Linked DNA regions of Rattus norvegicus. The protein of the gene in region 1 purifies or fractionates together with the protein of each later gene. This does not show direct contact. Links are inferred from orthologs where the notes say so. Each region holds a gene or a part of one and is shown on either strand. Other genes may lie near its edges.

Evidence for each region.
Region 2: the proteins of Tgoln2 (region 1) and Galnt2 purify together in Homo sapiens (affinity purification with mass spectrometry; 3 studies listed by BioGRID and IntAct, counting the BioPlex papers as one, with this or other methods). This does not show direct contact. The link is inferred for Rattus norvegicus from reciprocal best matches to the Homo sapiens genes TGOLN2 and GALNT2.

The regions. Positions count from the first base shown.
Region 1 is NC_086022.1:106,222,289-106,237,591, reverse strand, and holds the start of Tgoln2 (trans-Golgi network integral membrane protein TGN38 precursor), read left to right. Parts: upstream 1-8,329; 5' UTR 8,330-8,342; coding exon 8,343-8,388; intron 8,389-8,645; coding exon 8,646-9,583; intron 9,584-10,635; coding exon 10,636-10,719; coding exon of another isoform or gene 10,720-10,863; exon of another isoform or gene 10,864-12,428; coding exon of another isoform or gene 12,429-12,451; coding exon 12,452-12,457; coding exon of another isoform or gene 12,458-12,521; 3' UTR 12,522-15,303. UniProt on the Homo sapiens protein: May be involved in regulating membrane traffic to and from trans-Golgi network.
Region 2 is NC_086037.1:69,213,000-69,228,219, reverse strand, and holds the end of Galnt2 (polypeptide N-acetylgalactosaminyltransferase 2 precursor), read right to left. Parts: intron 14,774-15,220; coding exon 14,681-14,773; intron 14,428-14,680; coding exon 14,344-14,427; intron 13,221-14,343; coding exon 13,094-13,220; intron 10,735-13,093; coding exon 10,615-10,734; intron 8,485-10,614; coding exon 8,329-8,484; 3' UTR 5,983-8,328; downstream 1-5,982. UniProt on the Homo sapiens protein: Catalyzes the initial reaction in O-linked oligosaccharide biosynthesis, the transfer of an N-acetyl-D-galactosamine residue to a serine or threonine residue on the protein receptor.

The DNA.
Region 1 (15,303 bases):
TATTTACAACAGTGCAATCAGGACCACTATCTTTCTACAGCCGGGCCACAAACACGGTTCAGTACTTAAGAGCCCTTTCTGTACAGTCCTAGGGACCAGAGTTTGGATCCCAGTACCCACATTAAGAAAACCACTGACCTTCACACACCTATCACCCCGGCTCCAAGAGAGGCAGACAGGATCACTGTGCCTTCCTGGCTTTTCAGCCTGGCTTAGACACTGCTTCGAAGAGTTAAGCAGAGAGTGATTGTGGAGGACACTTGGCACAGTCAGTCAGTCATACACATAGACACACACAGAGAGAGGGAGGGAGGGAGGGACGGAGGAAGATAGATCTTTTTATTTGTTTGACAGACTCTGGCTATGTAGACCAGGCTGGCCTTGAGCTCCCAGATATGCCTGCCTCTGCCTCTCCAATGCTAGATCTAAAGGTGTGTTATAAAAATAGCAAGAAGTCTGCGTGTGTGTGTGGGGGGGGGGGTGTTTCTTAATTGTTACCATTTGTGCTCTGTACGACGACTATGGCCCATCAGGTTCCAACACTCTCGAATGGTTTCTATTGCCTAGCCTTCAATTTGTTTGCTTTTGCCTCATAAGGAAGTGGTTAACAGGAGATGGTCACAATGGCAGTTACAGGACAAGGTGTGAGGAACCAGGACAGGTGGAGAATGGAAAATGTCAAGAGTGACTAAGCGGGGACTCAGAGGAGCAGCCGAGTAGTTGGCATACAGCTCAGTGCAGTGCTTGTCTTGCATACCCAAAGTGCTAGGCTCAATCCCGAGCACTGCAGAAACTGGACACGGTGCCCATGTCTATGATCTAGGCCCTGGGAGGTACAGGCAGGAGGATCAGAAGTTCAAAGTCATCCTCAGCTACCTGTGGAGTTAGAGGCAGCCTGGGGTACATGAGATACTGTTTCAAAAAACAAAATATCAGCAAGGCATGATGGTGCAAGCCTTTAATCTCAGCATTGTGGAGGCAGAGGCAAGAAGAACTCGGAGTTCTAGATCAGCAAGTTATAGGTTAGCCAGGGTTACCCAGTGAGACCAAATTTAGAAATAAAAAGTTGCTGAGGCAACAACTACAACCATGCATTACTCGTGCATATATTATGATAGTGCTGGGAATGGAACCCTGTGTCTTGTACGCAGTAAGCAAACATTCTACCACTAAGATACCCCCCTTCCCTGTCTACTCTGTAAGTATAAACCACCTATGCTTGTTCCTTCATTTAATATCAAACATCTGTGGCAACCATACTACAGGGGCCTGGGACATCTGGCTTTCATGAATGATGTTACTATGTACATTCGTATACAAGTAAATGTTGGAGGGTTTTTTTTTTTAATTCTTTGGGGATACATAACTAGATTGCTATGTCACATAAGTAGCTATTCTGATTGCTTAAGGAAGCCATGAACTTTCTCCTAGCAGCTGTGCCATGTTACATTCCTACTTGAGGGCACTGGTGTAGGGCTGACCTTCATTCACATTGCATTAAGGTGTGTCTCCATATATTCCATTGTTTATTGCTGAGGGCAGTGAGCTAAACGCCAACAGATTCTGGTGTTGTAATCACTATAACCCATTACCAGCCTCCTGCTTTGTAAATTCTAAAAAAATAAGAATAAAAGCAGGGGGTTGGGGATTTAGCTCAGTGGTAGAATGCTTGCCTAGCAAGCACAAGGCCCTGAGTTCAGTCCTCAGCTCCAGGAAAAAAAAAAAAAAAAAAAAGGAATAAAAGCAGGGTTACACTGTCCTCTACCCCTCGACTGTTTAAGAGTTGTATCAGATGCAGCTCACTGCTGATTGGTTGTTATAAAGGGCTGACAGCCCTGCTGAATGGACCTAGGGGGTGAAGAGAGAAAAGGGAGTCAGGGAAGGGGAAAAAAAGGGGGTCTTTTCACTAGAAGACTTAGGAAGAGAGGTATGCAATGTGCCTGGGCCTGAAAGCAGACTGGATAGGTGGCCAGCTTAACTCAGACGAGCTAGCTGAGAGTCTTCACAGCAAAGGAAACTGAAATTTCTGAAATATTAAAAGATCTCATATCATTATTCCTGCTTGTCAGGTCACCAGGCTCACCCTTCATAATCTTATCAAGATTTATTTCCTAATTTTTCTTAAATAGTATTTCACTGATTTTGATTTATATTTCCCCTAATACTAATGATATATACTATCTTTTTGTGTACTTGTGGGGTAGCTACCCTGCTGTTGTTCAAAGACTATCCTTCCCCCAGTGAGCTCTCCTGAACCCTCATCAAACCGAGTTAATAACAAATGACCGAGTGTGTTTTTAAACTCTCAGTTCTGTTCTGTTCATCTCCATGCCCTTATTGTCCTGCTAACTGAAGGACTGTAGTAGTTGGAAAGTTGAGGCTGGGGAGATAACTTAGCAGCTGAGAATACTTACTGGGTTTCCACTTTTAGTTCTAACTCATAATTTAACACTTAAAGCACTTAAGTAATAGCCCACATTCGTGTAAACTACTGGTGCAGGAATTAATACTAAAGAATAACAGTAAGGGGGCTGGAGAGATGGCTCAGTGGTTAAGAGCACTGACTGCTCTTCCCGAGGTCCTGAGTTCAAATCCCAGCAACCACATGGTGGCTCACAGCCATCTGTAATGAGATCTGATGCCCTCTTCTGGTGTGTCTGGAGACAGCTACAGTGTACTCATATAATAAATAAATAAAATATTTTAAAAAATTTTAAAAAAAAGAATAACAGTAAGGGTTCAGGTATGCTGACTCATGTAATCCCAGAATTCAGGAGGCTTAGGAAGGACGATCATGAGGCCAGAATGAGCAGTCTATTGAGAATCAGTGTCAACAAACAGACAAACAGCAGACAGACAGGGCCTGAAGAGATGGTTGAGCAGGTAAGCACTTATTGCTTTGCTAGAAACCCAACATGGATGCAGTTGTCAGCATCCATGTGGAAGCTCACAACAGTCTGTTACTCCAGTCCCAGGGGATCTGACGCCTCCAGAGCAACAGACATGCACACAGTACACAGACATACATGCAGGCAAAACACCCACACATATAACAGTTAGTGGATAACGCAAGATGGAGACGGCTCAGGGGGGTGCGTGCTTTACAAGCAGGAAGACTGGGTTTCACCCCTCAGAACCCATGTTAAAAAGCAGGGAATATTTGAATTCCCACTGCTGGAGAGGATTGATAGGTGGATGCTGGTGTCTGAGAAATGACATACATGGTTGTCCTCTGGCATGCATACACACACACACACACACACACACACACACACACACACACACACACGTAAGCATTTGTTTGTACACAAGCAGGAACAAAAGAACTCTTTTTTTTTTCCCTATCAATTTGACAGATTAAGAATTCTCAGAGCAGGGGTTGGGGATTTAGCTCAGTGATAGAGTGCTTGCCTAGGAAGCGCAAGGCCCTGGGTTCGGTTCCCAGCTCCAAAAAAAAGAACCAAAAAAAAAAAAAAAAAAAAAAAAAAAAAAGAATTCTCAGAGCAGAGGGAAATGGAGGGAAAAAAGAAACTACTAAGACAATTTGTGCTTGAAGAATGCCATAATGCTACCTAATTCTTTGTATGCTAATACAAATGTGGAAAAGAAAATAGTACTTGGTGCTAGCATTCACCATAGTCCCTGCTACTCAGGGAGCGGAGGCTGGAGTACCCGTTGGGTCCAGAGTTTGAGAGAAGTGTGAGCAGCATGGTGAGATGAGAGGAACGTCAGGGAAGGAAGAGAACGGGAGAAAAAAGGAAAGAAAAGCTCCCTGTTATCAGGAGTTTGATAAAAATAACATGGCCCCGAGCAGATTGCTCAATCTCTTTTGAGTATCTGTGTCATCTCAGAAGCATGTGATATAACCGCTGCCTGATAATAAAGTCGCTAGCAGTGAGAAGGTGAGAAGAATCTGGATGCCCAGGATTCAGAAAACTGTCACAATTACGACAGACATGCACGTTACTTCTTTACTGAAATGATCGCCAGTCATATTTTAACCAGTGCTCCTACATTTGTGCTGCACACTCACATTTCCATCCGGGCATCCCTCCTCTTGGCTATCACAATCGCCCTAAGTAAAGATAAACCAAAGTAATTAACAAGTGGCCAGAAGCAAACTCATGTCCTATCTGCCAGTCCATCCCCCTGGCCCTCCACCTCAGTGAGAAAGCACCCCCTGCCTCCCTCCCCATCTTTCCTGTCCAATCTATCTTGGAAGCACGTTAGTCCCCTCTCCACTCTGAGCACTTTCCGTCATTCTCCCTGGACCTGTCCACTTCTTGAGATATTGCAACAATCTCCTAAATGATTAACACCCGGGTCCTTTCCCTACTACTCAAGTCAGTTCTTTCTGAAACAACCAGAGTAATGCCCAAACACCCTCCAATCTGATTAAACCTCTTCAATGGTTTCTTTTATTGTTTATAGATAAAATACAAACACCCGGGGTTCTGGGTGATCAGAACTTCTCTCCTCCCCTGCCTGGTAATGTGGACACCAGGTCAGGTTTAATTATTTGCCACTGCCCTCTCCGCCCACCCACACCCACACTATGCCAATATCCTTAAATGTTAGTCAAACATTTGTCTTAAAACAAGCAGACAGAATTTTCTTTTAAAAGCAGATTCATTTACCAGTTCACTTCCTCTAGCCAAGGCAAAGTCAACATTCTAAAGGAGGCTTTTTATTTTATTTTATTTTAAGCTCTGGAGACTGAACTAAGTACCTCTCAGATATCAGGCAAGCAGCACTCTACCCCCCACCCCCAGCTATAGTCCAGTTCCTGAAATAATCTGATAGACTTCTCACATCTCTTGTGATTTTTACTCTCTCCTCAGCAATGTAAGAGGAGAGGAAGAAGGGGTGGGGAGAGGCCGTGAAGACCACAGTATGGAGATTTTTATTCAAGTGACAGGAAAAGCACTTCTTTCTGAAACTATGTGTGCCATGTACTATTTCTTGAAACTTGAAAGCTTTCGGTCACAGGACTGCGTATTACACTCAGGGGTCTCGCAGAGCGTCACCCTCCCTGTGGCTGTAGTCCTCTCTGGCTCACTCCAAGCAGCTGACATACATTTTCTATCACATGAGACTTTCTGTTCTGGGTCACTCCCGCGTCACTTAGTTCTTGGTGTGGCTTTGTTCCACCTTCTCCTGCCATTCTCCCTCTCCCCCAAGAAGCCTGCTCTTTAGGCTCACACCCAGCTGCATGTGCTGGCCACTCGCTCAGCCAGAAACCCTAACCCTTCTCTCCTCCCACTTTTCTCCCAGGGATCTCTACAATCCTCGGTTCCTCGGCTCATCACTCAACTGATACACACTTTTCATATTTTTCTTGGCAATTCTTGGGATACAATTCTATTAGTTGTTTGCCTTAATGTCATTGAAAGCCACCTGACAAAAATAAATAAATAAAGGTTGGCGTTGGCTTACAGTTCCAGGGAATACATAGTACATCGTGGTAAGGAAATCATGGCAGCAAGAGCAGGAGGGAGCTGCTCACACTGACTCCATCATCAGGAAGCAGAGAGGCATGAATGTCCTATATTTTTTTTTTTTTTTTGGTTCTTTTTTTTCGGAGCTGGGGACCGAACCCAGGGCCTTGCGCTTCCTAGGTAAGCGCTCTACCACTGAGCTAAATCCCCAGCCCGAATGTCCTATATTTGCTCAGCTTGCTTCCCAGTTTATTCTGTCCAGGACCCGAGCCCATGAAACACTACTGTCCCCCTACAGAGTGGGCCTTCCCACCTGAATTAACCGAACCCAGATAATGCCTTAGAGGCACATCCAGGGACTTCTCTCCATTATGACTTTACATCTCATCAAAGGGAGGATCAAAGTTAACTATGACAAATCAAAAAGCAAACATGGACAAATGTCTATCTGATATTTCTCCACCTCACCAGATTGCAGCTTTATCAGATTAAAGTCTTCTTTATTCAGGTATGTTTGAGACTAAGTCTGACTTTGTTCTTCAGACTGACCTCCAAATTCTGGTTGCTCAAAAGATCCTTTGCCTCTGAAGGCAGAGAGATTGCTCATAGGTCAAGAGCCCTGCCTGCTCTTCTCACCCAGGTGCAGTTTCCAGAAGCTGGCTCAGAACCATCTCTAACTCCAGCTCTCGTGGCCTCTCTGGCTTCCTTTGGCCCCAGACAGGCACATAATATAGATGCATAAACGGAGGTAAAACATCCACACACATAAAGTAACAACACTTCTTATTCAAAAGATCCTCTACCTTAAACCTCCAGAGTATTGAGGACCATGGAACCTGGCACAGTGGTACACAACTGTAATCTCAGCATTTCCAAGGCAGAGGCAGGAAGACTGACGCCAAGTCAAAGTCTGCTGTCCCTTGGAGTGAGTTCCGGGCCTGTTATTGCTGCAGAATGAGAGCCTATCTCAAAAATGACAAAAAAAAAAAAAAAAAAAAAAAAGAATGTAGTTGTTGGAACTGTTTATTAAACAACTGTTTATGAAAATGTTCACGAATGACTTTAAGCAAATTGTTTAAACTATCCAGCACTGCCACAGATGAAGACACAAGGAACGAATGCAAATAGCAATCCGCAGAAGAGCAGACAGCAAGACTTTTTTTTTTTTTTTTTTTTTTTTTGGTTCTTTTTTTCGGAGCTGGGGACCGAACCCAGGGCCTTGCGCTTCCTAGGTAAGCGCTCTACCACTGAGCTAAATCCCCAGCCCGACTTTTTAAAAGTATATGTATGTTTTACTTACATGCATGTCTGTACACCACATGTGTACAATGACTGTGGGGTCAAAAGAGGATGTCAGATCTCCTGAAACTGGAATCATAGACTGTCATTAGGTATCTTGTGAGTTTAGGGACTGGAACTTGGGTCCTCTTGGAGGAGTAGTCAGTGTTCTTAACCACTGAACCATCTCTCTAGACCCTAAAGATGTCTTTTATGGTTGTTGTTCAATACAGGGTGTCTCTGTGTAACCCTGGCTGTCCTGGAACTCACTCTGTAGATCAGGCTGACCTCAAATTCAGACATCTGCCTGCCTCTGCCTCCTGAGTGCTGGGATTAATGGTGTGTCCCACCATCACCTGGCTCTCTTTTAAAAAAAAAAAAAAAGGTATAGTTATTTTAAAATTCTGCTTTTAAATGTGTTGCTTGAGCCAGGTGTGGTGGTGCATGTCTTTAATCCCAGCACTCAGTGGGCAGAGACAGGTGGATCTCCGGGAGTGCAAGGATAGCATGGAATACAGGGTGAGTTCTAGGACAGCAGAGGTGTTAAACATAAGAACCCTGTCCCAAAAAGAACACACACACACACACACACACACACACACACACACACACATTGTTGTGTTGAGCGAGGCAGAGTGCTTGTCTAGTGTGCACAGAGTCACAATTTTGATCTCAAGTACTACATAAATTGGAGATACAAGCCAGTAATCCAGTAGGAAGATCAGAAATTCAAGGTCTTCTTGTTTGGGCAACAAAGCACCTCATGTCCTGAACTGGAGAGATGGCTCAGGACTTGCTGCTCTCCCACAGGAGCAGAGTTCAGTTTCCAACACCACATAGATTGTTCGAAACGCCTGAAGCTCTACGGGATCCGATGTCCTCATCTAGCTCCAAAAGCACCTGCACACAGGTGGCGGGCACACGTACACAAATAAAAATCAATCTTTGATATCTGATTTCTTAAATAAATAAATAGCTCAATAGGGGCGTGGCGAGGCGCCTATAATCCCAAACACTCAGGAGGCAGGGGCTGCCCACATAACAATATAGTTTCAAACACATAGAAATTCAGGGGAGAGAAAAAAAAAAAAAAAACGTTGGTAAATACAGAGGGCCCTGGGTACCGCCAAGAAAAGGGATTGGGATCAGGATGAAATGTATTTGTTTCTAGATGGGAAAGAGCTGAACAGAGTACATTTTTGTGTTAAGTGAGAAAAGCACTACCAGCAACGGTGAGGTTAGAAACATGAACAGAGGATGCGACAAAGAGGCTCCCGGCCCCGACCCCACATCATAAGCAGCGAGAGGCGACGCAGCACCTGCCTGTCGGACAGTTTCTGAAGTACGAGGCCAAGGGAACAAGAAAGAGACTGCCGAGCTCCCCAGACTGCTGAAATAGAGAGGGGAGCTGGGGGGCAGGCCGGGGCGGGGCGGGGGGGGGAGCTGGACTTGATTTCCGGCACACTATCGGAATATACAGTCACTGACTGGCGACACCCAGTAACCCCACCCCCAAGGCGGGGTTGCGCCGGAAGAGAAACAGTCCGCCGGAAAGGGGGGGGGCACGCTCTGGAAATACCTTGCGCCCCTCTCACGTCAGTAGAGGGCGGAAGCGCAGACTACAGGATGCAGTTCCTGGTTGCGTTGCTCCTGCTGAGTGTCGCGGTGGCGAGTAAGGATACCCCCCCAAGCCCTTGTCATTCTCTCCCTTAGGTTCCCCATTCTTCACCTTGGTGGGTCGCCACGGGAGCTGTCGTCTTTCTCGCCTGACCCGACCCTCCTCTAGCAATCTCCACTGCTCTTCCATTCGGCCATCACCGCTAGGGTCTTAGAAGTCAAGCCCTTCTTTTCTCCCGGCCTTTTTTTTTTTTTTTTTTTTTTTTTTTTTTTTTTTTTTTTAACGTGGACTTACTGCTTTTTCTGTTTCAGGAGCTCTGCCATCCGCTTCTAAGCCAAACAACACATCAAGTGAAAATAATCCTCCGATTCAACCTTCCACGCCCCTGCCTCCTGGGGTTGATATTTCTCAACAGGTAAAGACTAACAGACCGACTGATCAGAGGCTGGAGTCGGATAAAGAAGGCCAGGACAAGACGGTGGCTAGGACTTCGGCATCAGTTTCCAGTGGGGTGGAATCTGCGACCAATCTCAATTTGGATGATTCCAAAAAGCACCCCGAAACAGCAGATGCCAAATTGAAGGAAACTTTGCAGCAGCTTTTGCCTGTGGACCCCAAACAGGAAAAGTCAGGTCAGAAGTTTACAAAAGATTCAGGCAGCCCCACAGGAGGTGATTCCGACAATACCACAGGAGGTGATTCTAACAAGACCACAGGAGTTGATTCTGACAAGACATCAGGAGGTGATTCTAACAAGCCCACAGGAAGTGATAATGACAAGCCCACAGGAGGTGATTCTAACAAGCCCACCTCCAAAGTCCCCTCCAATACAGAGACTCCAAAAATTGACAAAGTCCAGCTAACTGAAAAAGGACAGAAACCAACACTTATTTCCAAAACTGAATCTGGGGAAAAACTGGCAGGGGACTCTGACTTCTCTTTAAAGCCAGAGAAAGGAGATAAGTCTTCAGAGCCTACTGAAGATGTGGAAACCAAGGAGATTGAAGAGGGTGATACAGAGCCCGAAGAAGGTTCACCACTTGAAGAAGAGAATGAAAAGGTGTTGGGCCCTTCCTCCAGTGAGAACCAAGAGGGGACACTTACAGATTCTATGAAGGATGAGAAGGATGACCATTATAAGGACAATTCTGGAAACACCAGTGCAGAAAGCAGCCACTTCTTTGCTTATCTGGTGACCGCTGCTGTTCTTGTTGCTGTCCTCTATATTGCTTACCACAACAAACGAAAGGTAAGAGGGGACTGGAATGTCCAGAACCCTGAGTTCTTTGTACATGGGCAGCTATCTGTCACTCATCTGCCTGTGAGCTCAGAGGATTTTAAGATCATCTTCGGTTTTTCCTTAGACCTTGCTAGGACTCTGGGTTTTGTTTTGTAAATCATGTGACCCGTTTCCTCAGAGTTCTGCTGTAAAGTGCCAAGTTGGACGTGAATCTTGACCTGACCTAATTGTGATTCCCCTCCTGTAACTTGGAACTCAGATTATTCACAGCCTCTGTGAACCCAAGTTCTTGACAGGTAGATTTCTTCCCCTTTTCCATGCTTGAGATAGTTTACCATTTCTAGCTTTTATTCCAACTGTCTTCCATCTGGAGGCAGGAAGAATATTTTCAGTTACATAGTCTCTAACACCAGTAGTATAAAGCCCAAGAATGACTCTTCTGCTACCAAGAGTCAGAAGCAAGCCTAGAGATTGCATAAATGCACCCAACTTTGGGGTTAAAGTGCCACCCATGAAACAACCTTACAAACAACTCTAATGACAAAATTATTGTATTTCTTAATGAGCCATGAGATTTAGAAGACAGTTTCAGTAGCTTGACTTATTGAAGAATTCAGTTGGTGATAGCCATTGGGCATATGGCTCTAAAGAATGAAGAGTCTACATTCTTCGTTGTACATTTAAACGTTCATGATGAAAGCAGTAAATTAGAGAAAAGTTGAAACTGTGTGGGAGCAAAGCATGTGTTTGTAGCTAGGAAACCGTCATTATTTTTCCCCCTTAAACACCTGACCTAGAACTCTCTGGCAAGAGAACTGGCAGACCTCTAACTCCCATAATTAAATCATACAGATTTCCACAGGCTTCAGCCTCCATCTCTTGGGCCCTATTAAGCAGTATAAAGGATTTTGTTGTAACCAAGCCCCCTTTAAAATCTTGGGTGTGTGTGTGTAATTTAAATAGTCCTCTTTGTGGATCTAGGTAACTGCTTCTGATTTCAGGAAGTGAAGTCCCTCATTACAGAGTCAAATGTTAATCTGTTTTCTTTGTCCTTCCCTCAGATTATTGCTTTTGCCCTGGAAGGAAAAAGATCCAAAGTCACTCGGAGGCCAAAGGCCAGTGACTACCAACGTTTGAACCTAAAGGTAAGGAAGGAGAAACCCAATGTAGGAGGGATATGCAGCCTCCAGTGGGCCAGTTCTGGGGTTGCCGCAGCCATTGCTCCTAGCCCTTGGAGACTGCAAGTAGGACCGTCCGCACACTGCATGTGTATCTATCTACAAAGGTAGAGATAGAGAGGGCTTTCAGTCCTTTCACATTTGACAGATAAACAGATCTACCTGGAAGTGTGATTTTGTTTGTTTGTTTTCTTTCTGAGTTTCCACTCAGAGGAAATACTAGCACCTGATAGTAACTCTGTATACTTTTAAACACTTTCTTCACTATTTCAGCTCTTGACAGACAAATACTGTGATAAACACTGAACAATGTGATCAAAGCCAAATCTGATTTACTGAGTATGGGAGAGAACCTATCCATCCTCATTTTGTGGGGATCCCCACTGGCTGCCAGACCACACTTTGGGCAACAAAGCCCTGGATCACAACTCCCCCACAGCAGACGAGCACATAGGCTGCAAGCAAGCCCGCTGCAGGCTGGTCCTCCTGATGTGGCTAGTGTGCCTCAGCAGCCTTCGGGACAGCAGGCTTTCCCATCCGACAGTAAGGGAGAGGGTCTGAAGAAGGTGCTCCCCACAGGTGACTGTAGTCATCATAGGTGCCTCAGGCCCCCTGCTCTGTTCTGTTCAGCAACAGTGACAAAAGACAGTTGATGACTGAGATGGGAATGGTTCCCAGATGACCTACAGGAAACAGTTCACAGCAGTACAGAATAGCCCACCCAGCTCAGGACGTGTGTCACGCTAGGCCAACCTCACAGTCAGCTCTAGCGCTACAACTTTCCTTGATAAATGATTTTGATTTCTTTTCCCTCCTTAGTTTTGTTTTAATGGGAAGAAAGCAATACACGTGAAAAAATTTCAGAATAATATAGGAGAGTATAAAGTAGAAGCCAGTAGTTCAATCTGCCCACCATCAAATGTAGTGTACCATATGTGTGCCTGGTGCCAGTAGAAGCCGAAAGAGATAGTTGGATCCCCAGAACTGACGCTAAGGACAGTTGTGAACCACTGTGTAGGTGCTGGGAGACAAACGCTACTCCTTTTCAAGAGCAGCATGTGTTCTTAAGTGCTTACCGTCTCTCCAGCTTACTTTTTTTTTTTAAAGTCACCTAGGTTGTTCATAGGAGCATGGGCCTCATAGCAGTGGCTACCCTGCTGAAGAAAATACCTCTTACACGCCTATCAACAATTACTTAATTTTGAGACAATCTCTCACTGTAGCTTAAGACTCGTGATATAATCTTTGCTGGCCTAAAAGTCATCATCTTTCTGCCTCAGCCTGAGTACTGAAATTATAGGTATAAGCCACCATATTAGCTAAATGTATGACTCTCAGGTATATATTTTCTTTTTTTTTAAAGATTTATTTATTATATATGTATATACTGTAGCTATCTTCAGACACAGCAGAAGAGGGCATCAGATCTCATTACAGATGCTTATGAGTCACCATGTGGTTGCTGGGATTTGAACTCAGGACCTCTGGAAGAGCAGTCAGTGCTCTTAACCACTGTGCCATCTCTCCAGCCCCCATATTTTATTTCTAATTTACTTTAAAACTTACTAAAGTGACTTATGCACTTTAACTTTTATTATTTATTATTAGCTGTTTCATAATGATGGATGAGTTTGTCTGACTAACATATTTCCCTGAAAAAGCTGAGTATTAACCAGCAAATGTGTTGTTCTCATTTCAGCTTTGATTTTGATTTTGTCTGCAAGAACCTTGTCCTCCCTGCTGATTTGTTTCCGAATCAAGAGAAATGAAAAGACTGACCTGTGGGGTTTGGTGGCAAGTCTGGGCTGGCAGAGATGGGATTGCTTCAGGTTTTGCACCTGCACTTTGATGACATTGTCCTCTGGTGGTGTTTTATTTACTTTTGTGTTCCCTTTATGTGATGTGTCCATCTTCCTTCCATTCTTGGAGTACAAGCAGAGGGAGTGTGTGGAAACATGGCTGTGACCAAAGGAAGACCCCACCTTCCTTAGGCAGGCCACACTATGGACCACCCTCCCATAACCCCTTTATCTTTGCAACTCTAGGAGCAAACTACAGAGGTGCTTTCTAGACAAGATGTAGAAGATGATTCTGTGGGATGCTGATGGGCAGAGACAGGGTTGAAATCTTCTCCACAGAGGCCTCAGCTGCAGACCAGACTAGCAAGTTAAAGAGTGTCAAGGTCCAGTCCGTCTGACAGTCTGTATATCTCTCTGAAATTTGCACTCGAGTTGTGCTAGCACAAAAGGGACTCACTGCTTCTGAAAGTAAAATCACTGTGCCATGGGATTTTTTTTTTTTAAATATGGTGATGATTATTGAACTGAACCAGTGTGTTCTTGCATACAGTCACCCCAATAGGAACTTCCTGGAAAGAAGCAGGTTTATGCCTTGTGGAAGAAAACACATAGGGCTTTGGTATACAGGAAAGAGTTTCTCACAGTCAGTTTTGCTTTCATGGTCTGCAGTAGGTAAGATAGACATTTAGAAACTCCGTGCGTTCTCCACATTCCTCCACACTGTTTAAGATGCCAGGGAATGAGTAATATCTTTCCTATCCTGTCATAGCTACTCATGAAATTGTAAGAAACCAAGTAGGTTCCCTGAGATAACCAAAAATGTCTTGGATTATGCTGTGTCTAAAGTTTTATTCCAGTCTATATGGTTACACCTAAAGAGAGAAAACTCTTAACTAATCTCAGGGATATAAAAGGAAGAAAAATCTGAGTCCTGTGCAGTTGGAGAAGTTGAAGAAGACCTGGTCTTGGAGCTCTTTCTCCATGCTGACTGTAGCATGTGCCTGAAGTTTGTATGCTTGGCAGGTGGCATTCTAGAAATGAGGTCATTGTCTTCCCGACTGTGCATAAGTCTGCTGTTACTTTTTCCTAGCTGAGAAGCCGTTTTCAGTCTCCCTCAGCTTTCCGTAACTCTTCTTCAGTTCCCCACCTCTTCCATTCTCTCTTCCTCTTTAGCCCTGTTTGTACACCTCTGATGAAAACCTTTCCTTCTAGCCTACGTGCATGCCATCCCTACCCCGTTCCAGTTGGTGTTGCTTCTATTCCCTTCCCTCTCTCCCTGACATTTGCAGGTTTGCCTTGGTCTGTTTTCCTCCTGTTTCTCAAGGTTACTCAGTTAACAGATCACCAAATAAAACAGCCCATTTTCACAGCTTATAACACTTGGTAATGATAGATGCTGGGGTCTGTGCATGTTGACATTCTAGGTGTCTCTTGCAAACTGTCCTTTGCCTTATCTTATGGCGTTGGGGGAGGGTGCCCAGGTCTCTCTTGCTTTGACTGTCGCATCCATTCTTTATCCTTTCTGTGACTCTCACATTTTCTTTGGTCTCCTTCCCAAGAACCCAGTTCTGCTATATGCTAAATAACTCAGCCACATTGTCTGGTTGTCATTCAACCAGAGTTTCCCTCTTGTACCTATTAAGTTCCTCTATCCTTCGGGTTTTTTAATTATCTGAAAACTCTACACTATAAACTAATTACAGTGGTCATCACAGAAGTCCTATTTGTTTTTTCTTTTTTTAAGAAATTATATATCTAGGTATATTCTCCATTAATTTTCAGGAACCAGGTGAATTGACCTTACCAGTTTTGGAAACCTTGATTATTCCAGAACACTCCCTGGTCTGAAGCTCCTGTCTGATGCTATATTCTAGACTACAGGGTCCCTCATGTCTTCATGGTCTGGCACTCCATCTCTGCCTCTGCCCTCCTCGTCTCCTTTGTATTCCAGCTTCTCCAGGTTGCTCTGCGGTGAGCATTCCCTTTCCTTCACCTTAGCAGGTCCTTTGGTTCCGGATGTGCAGTGTTCCTTCTTAGAGTCAACACACTTGCTTGGCTTCCATTCCTCACTGTCACTGTCTCTTACTGTCACTCTCATCTTGGAACTTCAGTGTGACATAGTTCTGATGTTCTATGATCTCCCCCAAGAAAACCAAGCTCTGAGACACAGCCATTGGCATCGTTTATCAGCCAGGGACCTTAGGGGTCAAATTTCTTGTTGGAGGTGTAGCTGAACTGGGGCTCGCATAGCTCTTCCTGGCTACTGCTTGCTATGACCTTATACTTGTTGATTTTTTTGCTTTTGAAGAGCAGGAAGGAAGGTTGATTTTTAGTAACAAAGTGAGTGGACAGACACATGAAGGATTGCCAGAGGCTACAGAGCCTCGCCCTCTTGGGCTGCTGACCGATGTTTCTTGTGTGACAGAGTACAGTTGAATTTGTTTTCACTTGGAAAGTTGCATTGAAGGAGATGGCTCCCACCAAAGAAAAGTTATTTTTAGGATTTTTTTGTTTTGTGTTAGTTTTTTGAAGGTAGAATACTTACTTGAAGCATATCTCCTAGAGTGTGTGTGGATGATTATGGTCCAGCTGAGGTGTCTATACCAAGGACGGGGCTGGCATGTGAGAAGTACATGAAGCCTTAACTAGGACTCCTGTAGACTTTTCTGAGCTTGCTCTCCTGCTCAGTGTCTGGCTAAAGGCAATTTCCTAAGAGGAGCCTGCCTGAGGCACAACTGTTAACCGTTTGCTC
Region 2 (15,220 bases), on another chromosome or scaffold:
GTGTGTGTGTGTGTGTGTGTGTACATGTGTGCATGGTAAAGGGAACTTTACTTTGTTGTGAGGACAGCCTGGATTATCCAGGTTAGAAGTGAGACTCTTTCTCCAAAACAGAAGCCCAGCATGTAGAGCCCGGGGGTTTACAAACCACATTCAAGGCAAAGCTGGAGCTCATGGGAACACTTGGCTGTGGCTGGCCTGAGAGCACTGATGGCCACAGCCAGTGGACAGCAACCCATCACTAACAAAACCACCGAGCGCCGCCTAGTCCAGACCTGGAGGTATAAGGACCCATCAGCAGAGAGCAGAAAACCAGATCTCTCCCTTGGCCAGAGCGCTAATAGTAAAAGCTGAGGCTCAGAACACGTGGTTTGTCACTCATTGCCACTGGATTGAGGTACTGTGTGAGGTCAGGAGGGAGATGCTACTTCACAAGCTGAGTGCCTTCGTTCCTGGAGCAAACCTTTTGTGATGCTGGCAAGTCTGGGGCCAACACCTCTGAGATGACCCGCTGGGATCTCCTGAGCCCAAAGTGTTTGAGAGACAGTTCTGCAGGGCAAGAGAGTGAAGAGACTGTGCCTGTTCGCTCTCTGAAAGGTGAGTGGGTGTTACATGCTCACCCCTCCCCCAGCCAAGAAGCCTACAGTAACCTTGGTGTCTGTACCAGATGCTAATAGGGCTGTGTGGCCACCGCAGTCAGGTCTGATTCTGAGCAGGCCCAAGGAAGCTGGTATGAGGTGGAGGAGGGAGGGTTCCTCCATGATCCCATGCAGCCAAGCAGAATGTCTGAGGAGCTTGCAAAGGAGACATGGAGGGCAAATCAAGGCTGCAACCTCTAAGGGCATTAGCGTATAGGGTATCTAAGAATCCAAGACTGCCGTCCTGGCCTGGGTGGACTGAACTGGGGCCGGGAGGGGGATGGGTTTAGGTGCTGCTGTCTAACCTCAAAAGTGTCAGAGAAACCAGACAGCCACCAGTCTGACAGCCTGATCTTACCTGGATCCAAAGATCTCCCAAACCTGCTTTTCTGCCTTTCTTTCCTGGGACATGTCCCCACCTCTGGTTGAAGCTGTTCCCAGTCTGCCCAGCAGGGGGAAGCAGAACCTCAAATTATCACAGAACAGACAAAACAGTGTTGTGTACTGGGGAGTTTGGGCAGCTGGAATTATGGAAGTCACAGCCCCACGTGAGACCAGTGACAACACAGCCACTAGGACTAAGAGGGTGACAGGGCATGGATGAGAAAGGGCTGCAGCATTCCACAGTCCTTCCCCTGGCCACCGTGTCTAGGTTTGTGAGGCACCGAGACACTTGAGGGGTCCATGATGCTGCACCGTATTCTCCAGTATCGGATAAGCTCACAGTGTGCATGAAGGACAATTGGGGCCTGGAGGGGGGAGAGGTAGTAGACTGCCCCTCCCCCCAGGTCTGATAGGAGCCCACCGTGGAGAAGAGTAGCAGGGGTAACCTTGTCATTGGACAAGCTGAGCCACGGTCACAGGGACACTGAATGAGGCCAAGGGCCTCACCCGGACCTGGGCTGTACGCAGCCTGAGTCTCAGTCCTCCAGTTCACAGTTGAGATTGGCAATGACGCAGGCTAATGGCTTAGCAATGAGCAGAAGTGGGTTGGGACTGGAGTCCAGGACTATTCACCCAGAGCCCACCCTTTCCCCAGAACCCATCACATCCCAAGCCGGACAATTTGGCTCTCTTGAGAAAAATCTATCTAGTCTTATAGTTCTTCCTGCCGTGAGGGAAAGGCTCAGCATCCATGGCTGGCTTACAGGGATTCAGCCAAGCAGGTAAGGCGCTCAGACTCCCGACTCCTGGGCAGCCCCACCTCTACTCCCACCAGGGCACTGGAGGTCACAGAGAGGCAGATGAGAATAGCTACAACCTCGGCTTCACAGGCTGAACCACACTGACAATCTCAGCTGCTTCCAACTCCCACTGAGAACTCAGGGTGAAATCTTACAAACGGTCTGAATGGGTGTGTGCTCACACCGCCTCTGGAACTTCTGACCTTAGCAAAACTACAGCTTTTAGGGAACAGAGTTATCTAGCTGGGGGTGTGAGGATGTTTACAGAAGGCACCCATCTGCAAAACTGCCATCCTAAGAAGTGTCAGGGTGTGCCCTTAGATGCTAAAGACTGATGGATTCCAAACCCATAGGGAGGAGAATAGGAGTCAAGGTGCTGCCCACATCGCTCCTCAGGGAACTCCAGAGCCACAAGATTCTGGAAAGTTCTTTGGCACTTTCCTGCTCCCTGCAGCCCTACCTCATCCTGACCTATACCTTACAGGGGTCTGGCATCTCGGCAGACTTGTCATGGGTCTGGTTCTTTTTTTTTTTTTTTTGGTTCTTTTTTTTTTTTCGGAGCTGGGGACCGAACCCAGGGCCTTGCACTTCCTAGGTAAGCACTCTACCACTGAGCTAAATCCCCAGCCCATGGGTCTGGTTCTTATGAGCTGGCTTTCTGGGGCTCCCTGCCACCTAGGGCTACAAGGAAGCCTGGCCTGTCTTTACCTCCTGGGCTGACTGCTAGGTTGTGTGGTCCTCTGATTGTGCAGCGAACTTGATTGTGCACTTAGCAACATTTCTGCCTGTCCTTACACCTCTGATGTCTTTGCTCATTGGGCAAAAGCTACAAGGTTGTCCAATTTGCTTAAGAGCATATTCAGGGGGCTGGGGATTTAGCTCAGTAGTAGAGCGCTTACCTAGGAAGCGCAAGGCCCTGGGTTCGGTCCCCAGCTCCGAAAAGAAGAACCAAAAAAAAAAAAAAAAAAAAAAAAAAAAAAGAGCATATTCAGTAGCGATTCAATGTCTCCAGTGGAAGTTCATAGGGTCACAGTCCTGTCTTCACTCCCTGGAGGACTATTAGGTGTAACATAGGGTCACAGTGCCCTCCTCACCCACCTTTCCCAGGATGCCCTTCTTGCAAGTGAGCACAGGGTTCCCATTGTGGACTGGCCCAAGGGATAGTATAGTGTGCAAGGGGTGGGTCTAGTGTGCAAGGGGCGGGTCTAGTGTGCAAGGGGCGGGTCTAGTGTGCAAGCCCAAACTGACTGAGGCTTCTTTAGGTCCTCACTTTCTCCTCAGAATCCCAAGCCTTCTCTAATACTCTCCAGCCCTTGAGAGCTGCCATGTGTTAGCTGCTACAAAGGGACTGCTTACCCTGGTCTCTCCTGGAGGACCGCCATCTTCCCACCACCTCTTGTCACACAGAGCACTGCACTGAGCCTCCCCTGCCCCAGGATAGGCTCAGTGTCAGAGCTGGTGCCTCACTTGGCCTAGGCAAATCAACCAGGCTCATTGCTAGAGCTTGCCCAGTGCCAAAATGGGAAAAACTTTGTGAGCTGTGAAAATTAGAGGTAAAATATACCCCAGGGCTGGCCAATCCTAGCTCATGTCACCGAGGGAACTCCGTGACCTTTTCTGTTCTCCCACTCAAGCTTTCCTTTGTTCCCGTGTGGCACCCTGGTGACACGTGATAACTCAGTATGAAGAGCAGCCTCTCTCCCCCCTTTATCCTCAAACTGAACCTGGATGGGATGCAGGGAGGCAGTGGGTACCTGCCTTGTCCATGGCTGGAGTTAGGCCCAGTGTAGGTCTACCCCGCTATCTCAAAACCACATACATATGCAACATGGCCAAGGGTAGCTCTCATATGGCCTCTTTCTTTTCCTTATTCTGGGGTGTGTTCTCTCTCTCACCCACCTCACTTTCTATACAGTTCCGAGGTGGAGAGAAGACGACTGGCTGTACCCCAGGCCCCTCAGCCTGTGCCCTAGGCTTTATCTGCGCGTGTTAGGAGACTGGCAGAGGAGCCTTTAGCTCTCTCCTTGGCTACAGCACGTGCAGGCGATGCTGACTCACTGGTGTCAGGGATTCCTAGACAGACTGACCGCCAGTTACATACAGGCAGCTTCTCTGGTCATGGAGATGGAGAAGACCCAGGCTACTTGCAGGCTAGAGCCCTGGGATGCCGCTCAGCCTGTGTTCACAGCCCTGGAAACCAGGGGATGCTGGGAAAATTCTGGAGCCAAGGGCCAGAGGGCCTAGGACTCTTGTGTCAGTGCACGCGATGGGGTAGAGGTCCAGCTCCTGAGAGGTCACCTTTCTGTTCTACCAGAGCCACTGGATGACTAAATGGTGCCATCTTATGGGGGATGGTTATTCCCCCTGATCTGTCACCAGATCTCAGGCTAGTTTCTGTGTGATCCATCTAGTGTTCTCGTACTCAGGCAAGAGAATATTTAAAATTAAGCCCCTCTCTGAAAGGCAGAGACAGGAAGTCACATTCTCCAACAGGGAGTGCTGAGACGCAAGTGTGCTGCCAGCCACATGGGGGCGCTCACGAGGGAGCTCTGAGGCTCAGACTAGGAGCGCTCGCCCACCCACACCAGCATAGCTTCTGAGAACCACGGAGTGTTCTATCCATGACTGGAGCTTGCAGACAGCAGGTATTGTCTCTGTTCTTCTTTTTAAATATCGGTTACTTTCTATTCCATCCATTATTACAGATTTCCATTCACTCCGCGTTCACTGGGGCTTTGGAATCTCCGAAGCAATGAGATAACATGTTACCTAGTGTGCTGAGAATAAGCAGGTCACTGTGTCTTTGGCATGACTGGCTTCTTTGTGGTCCGCTACAATGTGTTTTTTGAGACTCTCCTGAGACCTCTGAGCTGCCAGCAGGTACCAGAGAGGCCAAAGGCAGGGGGAGGGAGGGGCTTAGTAGGCCAGCAGTCACCCTCTCGCAACCATTATTGCTGTTCCATCCATTCTACAGCGGTGCAAACCCTTCCAACACGGTAGTCGGGGAGGCTGTGTGGCTCAGCAAACAGTTCCTTTTCTAGCCCCTGACAATTACACACGAGGTTAGTTACCCATCTGCTTCCCAAACTCCTGAGGCCCACATCCCGCCTCGAGGCAAGGGGCCCCACCTAGGAGCAGCACGGCTCATGATCAGAGAGAGGTGTCTGTCCTATGCGGGGTGGAACCTGGGAGCAGGCAGGCAGTTCAGCACTGAGCTGAAATCCGGTCTCCTGGGTTTCTTGTTCTGAGCTAGTGGGCATGTGTATTTGAACTACTTGTAGGTGTCCTGGTTCCAGGAGAACTCTCCCACTCAAGGGTAACAAGGGGCCTTCTGGGGCAAGCCAATGATCTTCGAGGCCCATGCCTTTCTGGGCCTCACTGAAATACCAGAAGAGAAACCACCCATGGCTACCCCTTCTCAAAGCTCAACTCAGCAGCTGGCTCTAATTCCCAGAGGGGCCACCTGAATACCTATCCCAGGAGGGCCGCAACCCTCCTCCCAGCTCCCAGGCTAGACCTAGGGATAGAATGCCTTTTAGAAATGTAGTTTAGAGTCTCTTCAGATACTCCAAGGCCTCAGGACATCGCTGAGTTACAAGTTACTGCCATTGTCTCTCAGACAGCCACAGAGCCACATTTTTGGTGTCTCACATAATGAAACCAATGCAGTGTGGTTTGAGAAGGTTCGGGCATCTCCTGGCCAGTCCCTTCACTGTCTTATCATGGTCCAAACAGCAAGACAACCAGCCGGTCTTTATCTCCCTGGATATATAGCCAGTCTCATGAAGGTGTGGTCAAAGACGAGTACAAGGCCAGGATGAGTGGCAGAGCCCCGGACGGCTGCTGAGTAGGACCATGCATTTTAAATACTTACGTGTAAGAGATTTGGTACCTAGAGCGTGTGGGCCACGTGTTCAGGGCCCAGGTCCAGGGCAAGTTAAGCCAGTGCATGGCAGGGGCTGGCCAGGTATCTGGCACAGCCCAACCGCCCCACACTGCAAATGGTTGTCACTAATGCATCAGACCCGGGGGGCATAGCATCAGGGATGTGTTTTAAGGGAGCGATGAGAAACGTCAGGGCGGACAGAAGTGAGACCTCGACTCCAGCCCTCTGCCTGGTCCCACACCTCGTAGAGCGACGGAGAGAGAGACACAGTTGGGCATTATCTATAAAGTATCTTCTCTTTATTTAAGTTAAACAATTTCAAGGATGGTTTCCATCTATAAAATGGACAAAGCACAAGCTCTGTACAGCAGTTCTTTTTTTTTTTTTTTTAAAAATCAACTGGAAAAAAAAATTACCAAACTATATTTTGAATTTGCAAAACATACTCACAGACACCGTCATTTTCAGCTTCACGGAGACTCGAGGACCACCAGAGAGGACAGCCACCATTTTGCCTGTGCGTGCCCAGGGCTCCTGGGAGTTTTTAAGTTTTTTAAAAACAGGAGTGGGAGTGTGGGAGAGCCCAGATTGACTACAAAACGATACAAGCTCAGCGAGTCGCTTTGGCACACTGTCATGTAAACATGGCTCACCCGAGGGCCTTGCCCAGACCCCCTCTGCTCGGAGCTGGGTTGAGTTGGCACCCTGGTGGCCAGACAATCAGATGGTACAAAGGTGACGAGGCCACAGGGTGGGGCGGGGTACACGTGTGGTTGGGACAGCCCATGTTGTCTCACATCTGTGGTGTCACTGACAGAAGCAGTGCAGAGGTGTCAGGGTTAGCAGCGGACATCGTGCTTGGACTGGACTCCAGCACTCTCCTGCCTCGCCCCGGGCAGCTCTGCCCCCATCCCTGTGAGTGACAGTCCTCAGAGTCTACCCAGGAAGGTGGACATGTATGGACTTAATTAGACACGTGGGCACCCTGTCTGTTACAACGTATCTCTTGTTGTTGCTTGGCAGGGGTGAAAAGACAGAGGGTCAGCACCTGGCCAGGTCTTCCCAGAGGGTCCGTGGTCATGGTGTGCACACACATGGAGCTCCACAAATAGAAGAAACCAGCCTCGCCCACCCCCCTTTGGGTCAGGTGGGAGACAGAGCACTCACCTGCAGGCCCTCTGACCACCTGAAGCTCTGGTCCCCGAGATCTCTGGGACACCTGAGGTGAGCATGGGTGATGCTTTGTGGCCCCACAGGGTGTCACTTCCCCTGCACCCTCTGTGGCTGACACATGCCTAGGTCCTTCGTGTGAGTGAGCAGACCTTGTGGTCCGAACTCTACCCACAATTCCTGCCATAGCCTGTGGACATACCGGGGGGGGGGTGTTGCCCACACCAGGGCTACAGACACATGGGGTCCACCCACACAGGCTGAAGGGCTGCTCTTCTGTGCTCTGCCGGATGCTTGGTTAGTACCAAAGACCCAACATACAGGGTCTCAAACCACTGAGCCTAGGGATAGCATGTGACAGCTGTCCCGAGGGCCCCTGGTCTGTCACGGGGCAGTAGGGTCCTGCTGGCTCACATTAGTTAGAAGCTGTGGGGTTGAGTTTCCCTAAAGAAAAGAAATCTAACGTCAAAAGAAAACCCAAAGCAATACTTGCCAAAAGAGGTGACCTATCTAGGTTTATGGTTGACAATGGGCACAAAGTGGACTTTCTAACCCAGCTGCGAACCCCTTAAACGTTGGTGCTTGTGGGCAGGGCTGACGGTTTGGGGACACCCCCGACTGGAAGAGCAGCGTGGGCAGGCTGGTGAGGCTCCAGAGGCAGAGACGTGGCACCCGCACCTTCACTCTGGAAGCCCAGGCCCCTCCGTGTGGCCGGGCTGCGCTGTGGGGTTCACATGATGATGTAGGGAAAGCGTAGGGAACGGACCGTGATTCTCTGTATACGCATCTCTATTTAGTGTCCCGCCATAGAAAGTTCACGTTCAAATACAGCAAAGTATGTCAACAGAAGAGGGGACGTGGCCCCAGGGGGGGCCAGCTGAGCCCAGGGGCAGGGACAGGGAAAGACAAGCAAATCTGCAGGGAAAGGTCAGCTTTGTGGAAATCATTTTTTTTTTTTCCTCCTTAGACAGGGTCTTGCCTGCCTCAGCCTCCTGAGTGATGGAGTCACAGGCACTGGCCACCATGCCTGGTTCACACACATGATTTTGAACAGGTTAAAAACAAAACAAAACGAAGTGGAGATTGGCGAGTTCTCGCCGTGAGGGCGCTTGCCCCTGCTCCCTCTGTCCTCGATATAAACGTGATTGCTGCTTATCCACTTGCTCCGGCCAGCACCGGGGCTGTCCTCTGAGGGGTGTGAGCAGGAAGCAGAAAGCAGGAGGCAGAGGGTGCCAGCCTTGGGAGGGACCCTCTGTCCTGAGCCCCCGGGGCTCACTGCCTTCCATACAGCTGTCAGCCCAGCTCACACCTCGCTGAGGACTCGAGACTTAAGACTTTCAGACCATGGTGGGACACTGAGGTATATAGTTTTGCGGAAAGTTTCAGAAACATAATTATGTGATCACCAAACCGGGCCAGTGTGTGCGGGTGGACGGTGGGCCCCAGGGGCCTCTTATTGCTGCAGGTTGAGTGAGAATTTCCACTGCTGTGACAGGGCCGGGCCGCACACCTCCACACTCAGGCCTCCGCTCTTGGCAGTGCGGCTGTCCAGGCACAGGTTGCTCCCCACGTGTCGCAGTTTGGAGTTGCCTTCGATCTGCTCCCACTTCTGTAACACAGAGCACAGCAGCGGGAGGAGTTTAAGGGCAGCCCAGGGTCTGCAGGCTTCTCTTGGGCACACACCTGCCATTTCCGCCTTCTTTCTCTCTCTGCTCCTGAGTCCCCACTGCCCCCCGTGCCGCAGGCCCCACCTGCCACTCTTGGAGAGCATGCTACACCACGATGCTCCTACCAATGCTAGCACGCTCGACCGACCAACCCACCAAGTCCACCGACCAACCCACCAAGTCCACCAACCCACTGCCATGCACAAAGGCCTAACAGCATCAGGACGTCTGAGGCGCCCTGACCCTGTTGTAACATAAACACCTTGAACATTTACACTTTCAGTTTTTAAAGTCACACAGGCTTTCCTTTTTATCCCCACAGCTTCTCTTTCATTACCAAGGTCTGTGGCGCTAATTAATACTTTATACGTGCAGTAAGGTTCCTTGGAGTATTTCTGAAAATCCCTCTGACGTGGTGGTCTTAAGAGCTCCTCACTCTTGCCTCCTCTCCCCCTCTGACCGTGCAAATACTCGCACGGCTCTCTCAGCCCTTGGGCTCATCAGATGCCAACTGTGGAAGTCAGGGGCGGTCACCCTGAGAGGGGCTCTGCCACCTGCACTGCCTCCCTCCCTCCCTGTCCCCCTGCTGTCAGTTTGCTGGTTTCCCTTCATTGTCATGGAAAGCATGCCTAGAGCCTGACAGAGCCTGTGGAGAGAACACAGAGTCTGGCTCCTGGGGGGAGGGGCTGTCATGTGTTGAAGCATCCACTAGACAGTGGGTGCTGAGAGAACAATGAAGTCACAGCTGTCCCTCGAAGGTGCTCCTCAGCGCTGGCATCGGCCTGATGGGACGCCGCAGTGTGGCGGGTTTACTGGCGCAGCGCTCCCACATCCCCACAGGTGGAGGCTCAGGGCTGTACTCATCACCCAGGACCAAGCAGCCTTCCCTGTCTTAGAATCAGTTAAGGGCCCCACAGAGAACACTGGGGCAGTGTCTCTATCACCTTTTCCTTCTTAAAAGGCTAACAGACCAGATAAAGTCTCACTTTACCACTGACTTACGGCCCAAAGGCCTGGCTGTGTTCTAGGTAGGTCCAGGGGACAGTGGCCTTCCCTGGATCAACATTTCCAATCTTTTTCTATAGGATCTGACTCAAACTATACAACTACACAGACAGAGATGACTGTATAGAGGGCGAACACAGGGTGGGCTGGGAGTGGGGACATAGCACTCAGGTACTCTGACACCTAGGATCCAAACAGGAACTGGATGCTGGCTGTGGCCCTGTACCACCAGCTGGTGGTGGTGGGTGGGGAACCTAGGCCTTTGCTTCCCTTTGTGCAATCAGGTGGATGGAAGGACGCTGAGCTGTAGCTCTGGTGGCCCTCGTGCCTCAGTTTCCCTCTACATTTGTCTTCTGGGGAGGGACTGTGGGAAGACTAGCTACATTCCCCCATGGTGGGTTAGAAGGGACTGTTAATGTCTGCATTGTGATTGTCACCGCAGGGCTCAGAAAGGTGGTTTGCCCAAGATTCCCCAAGGAATAAGCCAGACAGAACCAGCTTCCAAGGCTTGCGATAAGCTCTGGTCCATGGAAGAAGCAGAGAGGATCCTAACTCTCACCAAGGTGAAGACGATCTCACTGTGAGCTCAGAGTAAGACACGTGCACACCCTGCTATGGAGCCAGGCACCGCAGGCTGCTCCCCTTTATGGCCAGGGACTGACAGGGAGCTGAGGAGATTACTGTGGCCCTGAACCTCAGGAAAACGTCACCCTACATAACTGCTAGCCATGGAGAAAATGTAGTCAAAGCTCAAAGTCCACTTTCAGTAGGACGTGGCTACCCTGCAGTAAGTCTCTGTCCACCCAGGCTCATCTCCTTAACCATTTAGATCGGAACTTTTCTAAAGTTCTGCAGGGGAAACAGGCGTTTATCACCAGGATTTTGTCCAAGGAATCACATAATTTCAAATAAAACCCTCTGTGGCGCGAGGGAGGAAATGAGACAGGGACCATGGGACATGGTCATCCAAAGGATGAACGGCAGCCACTGGACTGCAGGTGTGAGATGGATAAGCACCCGGTCCTTGTCACTGTCAGCGCCGGGAAAGCCTGGGACCCGGGACCCACCTGTCTGCTGTCGTTCTCCCGGCAGCCCTGCAACCTGATGAGTGATCCTGGTGAACGGTCCACCACAGTAAGGCACAGGTCCATGTGCTTCACCGACTTCTCCTTAGTCAAGGCCCATTCCTGGGAGAGACCACAAGTCAGAAGCACACCTCAAGTCAGGCTACGGCCATGTGGGGAACTTTACCCAGGACGCCAGGGGTAGGTAACTTGGAGCCAGCTGGATACTCCCAGCTAAGGGACAAAGCTACACGTGGCTGCTGAGCTGGCCTTGGTAGCTGTGATGTTTTGGTGGGAAATGCGTTTGCACATGTGGCCCCAGCTGGCAGGTCTGTTCTGAGAGGCTGTGGAAATGCACACTCCTGCTGCCTCTCTGGCTGGCCAGTCTAGTTATGATGGGCTGGCTGATCTCTCAATCCAGGAGCCAAAATAAACGCACCCTCAAGTATTTCTGTCAAGTATTTGGTTAGAGAGGCAAGAAAAGTTGTTAATACAGTGACCTAAATGAGCTGTATCAAGAGTGACTGGCACACTGCGACAGCTAACTGTGTTAAGCATTTTAGCTCAAAGTGCAAGTTAGAGATCCGGTCAGCATCACTCTAACCCACAAGTCCTCCCACACACTCTGCTTTGGAAACAGATTTATGAGCGTAGGTGGAATCTGAGAAAACTCCATACATGATACATTGTAGCTTTCAGCGAATGTCTACATGGCTGAAGTCTGTGGGAACCTGCTGCTGGTACTCGCAAAGCCCTGACTGCAGGAAGCGTCTACACATCCATGCACGGTATGGCTCCTAATTGGGTGCTCGCCATGTGCTCAACTGTCTCAAGCCTTTGCACAGGAACTGCATGAGGGGTGTATGTGTGTGTGTGTGTGTGTGTGTGTGTGTGTGTGTGTGTGTGTTCGTGGTGGGGGGCAGAGAAGTGGGGAGAGAGAGGATTGGAGGGTAGACGTATAGAGACTGGGGCAAACGAGATGGGGCAGACAGGTTGGAGGCAGCATTGTCCGGTCAGTCTTTCCTTGCCCTCTCTATCCCTGCCCTGGAACGGGACTGCTCCTCTCTACCGCTGCACATTTACAGGAAGCTACTCACAGAAGAGCCTACACTGTGAGTCACAGGGCTGGGCCCTTCTGAAGACGGCCTCGCTTTCTGTCAACTGTCTCCTTGTAGATTGTGGACATAAGGTGGCCGCTTCCTCCTCGTACTCCCATGCCGTGCTGTCCCCGTGGGACGTCAGAAGGGTCCTTCTCTCTTAAGCGGTTCTGTCACCACAGTGAAGGGTGGGTAGCTTATATATAGTCTGTCTGCTCTATCCAGTGTGCTTCCTTCCAGATGTGCCGGGGTGTGGAGATGCAACTCAGTGTCCCTGGTACACTGCAGCTCTAGGACGTGGAAGTCCAGGACCCTCCCTGACCCAATGTGTGGGCAACAGCTGGAGACACGCTTGAGTTAGAGGAGTCATGGGGACCCCTGGGCACTGAGGTGCTAGCCTGTCTTCATGTGACAAGTGTGGGAAGATGCTGGCCGGGAAGGGGACGTGTGGAGACTGTGTACCTCATTATTTTAAGATGAGTAATACACTGAACTCCAAATCTGATTTGGCTGTGCATGCGGCAGAGCCAGCCACCTTGTGCTGGTCCTTCAGCAACCTGAATTTGTCAAACATCTAAGAAATGCTTTTAGGAGCCGCCGTCCCTAAGAAGGTGTGGCCATCAGTCATTCTTCCATTTCCTCTGTGCTGCTGAGGCTAGGCTGGGAACCAGATAACAGCGTCCCATCCACACTGCCCGTACCGTGCCACCTAAAGTCCCCATCCTTGTGTCTCCTGACCCACAAAGCTTCACTCTGTTAATTCAGAGGGGACTCGGTCCCGGGAGGGACACCGGCTGGTGTCACCTTTGCCTCTGGGTCCCCTCCAAGCACTGGAGTGCCAGTCACACATGGCAGCCCCAATTTAAATTCAGCAGAGTTAAGTAAAACCAACTTAATCCAAGTAGGCACACCTTAAGAGCTCATGTGCACAGGTGCCTGCCAGCCATAGTCCTACAACATTTCTAGCACTGAGGAAGGGGGTCCTGGACCCCAGCTGCCTGTGGGGCGAGGTATCCCAGGCTGAGTGGAAAATTGTGTCAACCACCAAGCAGGCCCTGATCCTTGACCTGAGAAGACTGAAGCTGAGCACAAGCTAAGCAAGGACCTGTTAGGGACAAATGTGGGTACAGACGCAGGTCCAGTACATGGCAGTGGGTTCAGCAGGGACGACAGACAGAGCTGGTGGGAAGTCGTAGCCTAAACAACAGGTGCTAATGCCACCTCGGTATTTCCCTCACCGGCACAGCACAGCCCACAGCGGATGAGCCGCTCGAGGCGGCATTCGATACCTGTAACATCCAGCTGGCTCCGAGGCTGCTGGTGGGGCCGGGGTGTTCGCCTACCTGAGGACTCTGGGTCTGCAGGCCAGCATGCTCCCCACCTACCTGGTTTCCCCCAGCGTTGTGACACTCATAAATCCCAACAACTCCATCCGCAAAGTGTCCCAAGGTGTCCAGGCAGTTGGTTCCCTGCTGTAAGGCTCCAAAAGCTATGTCCTGGTGGTCTGGAACCCTGAAAGGCATTCGTTGTAAGAGCCAAGGCCACCTCCCCAGCCCTGTGCTTCCTGTTCACCATGGCCTCTGCACATGGCCTAGACAACAGAGACAAGACGGCAGCTTTGCATCACCCAGACATGATGGTGGCCCCAACTTCTGGATTCCTAACTCTTTAAGAGGGTTAAGTGGGCCAGGCAACGCCTACAATCCCGGCATTTAGAAGGCTGAGGGGGGATTTCTGTGAGAGTTTGAGGCCGGCTTGGGCTACAGAGTGAACCCGTCTCACCATCTCCAAGCAACACATGGCAAACAGGAGATGTTTCCTAATGTTCTGATAAGGGAGAGTGACTACCAAGTCGGGCTGCTGGCTGTCCCTTAGGAAGACACTCACAGGGTCACATCTGGCCCTTCGTATTTCTCACAGACAAGACCTTGACCGGTAGGGCTCAGCCTGTGGGATTGGGTACGTGGTCCAGTGTACACAAATGGATGGAATGTATGGGGACCTGTGTGTTTAGGAAGGAGTCTGGCCTCACCCTTGAGAGGCACTGGCTGTGGTCTCCTGATTAAGGGCCATGCTCTAACTAACCCTTGACTGTTCTCCTTTGTGGAAATGGTGAAATGGGCGGGTCCTTCAGGACAAGAACGACTTGGTGGCATCTGCGGCCAGAAGCCCACTGGTTTTCTAGTGGAGTCCCTGGTGCCCTCAGGACACAGCTCCTGCCACTTACAGGGAAGAGCGGTGTGGAGGCAGGGCTCTGCAGAGGCTGTCTGTCCCTCACTCCCCGGTAGGAGCTGGGACACCATCACTGTTAATGCTACTCTACACTAAGAGGGCCGGAGCAGCTGATGGGAGTTGTGGGAGAGGAGTGTGCTCATGGGGAGACAGCCTCTGCCTCACTAGTCCACCTCACTAGTCACTAGAAGGGGACAAACCAAGTCGGGGGTGCTTTGGGATTCTCCCTTCAGTGTTTCTCTCACAGAGAACAAGGGTAACTGCAAAAGAGGGGGTGCCTGTGGGGCGGGGACCATGTGCTCTCCCTGGCAGCCAGGCTCACAGCAAGCACGAGGCCTCTGCAGCCTCCTTGTTCACCTTTATTCCTCAGAGGTCACAAGTGCACCCAGGCCCCAGGACTTACCTCAGCTCAGGGTAGACGTTGTCTAGGTACCACTTGAAGGGCTTGCAGCCCAGCTTTTTCCTGAGCTCCAGTCTGCTCTGAATACTAGAAGAAAGAAAGATACAGTCATTTTGGAACGCTGGGAGAATAAGGTGGCCTACATGGTATGGCACGTGCTGGCCAGTCTCGGGTGCCCATGACCTGCTGACCTCCCACTAGGACATGCTGGCACAGAGTGGAGAGCCCTGTTGACACTGCCAGGGTCCCTACAAGGACAGGGTGGCAGCTATCCTCACCTGTCCCAGGGTCCCCACCCCTCCCAGGGTCCGCAGGAGAAGGACAGGGCAGCGACACTCACTTTCCATAGGGCACGTTGCGCGCAGAAGGCACTGCTGCGTAGTAGAAATGTTTGAACTCGTCCATCCAGACCTCAGCTGCCCGGCGCGTGTTCCTGAAAACAAAGTAAGTCATCCCAAACTGTAACTTCCATCCCCTCCCCAGAGGGAGTCACCTAACCCTGTAGGTCTGCCGAAGGAGGACAGTGCCTCGAGGGTGGCATGGTGCAGCCTCAGCTACCTCAGGGTCTGTGGGATGTGCTAGGCTGAAGCATCATCACTCAGCACAAGTCAGCCCAGGGCAGGACGGACGGCACAGACACTGACAGACATCCCTGCTGCGCCTCAGGGAAGGAGCCTCTAGTGGAGACTCTGGTCAAGACAGCCTTCCACAGCGTGAGTGGACATGGTACCCTGGCATGCTGGGAAAGTAAACTAGGTTCTTCTAACCCGCTCTGCCCTCCTCAGCGGTAACATTGTGTGTAGATTAGAAATGACAGCATGAAGAAGTGGGAGCATCAGGTCCTAGGTCTGGGGACGCCCGCTGTCCTTAGTATATAGAT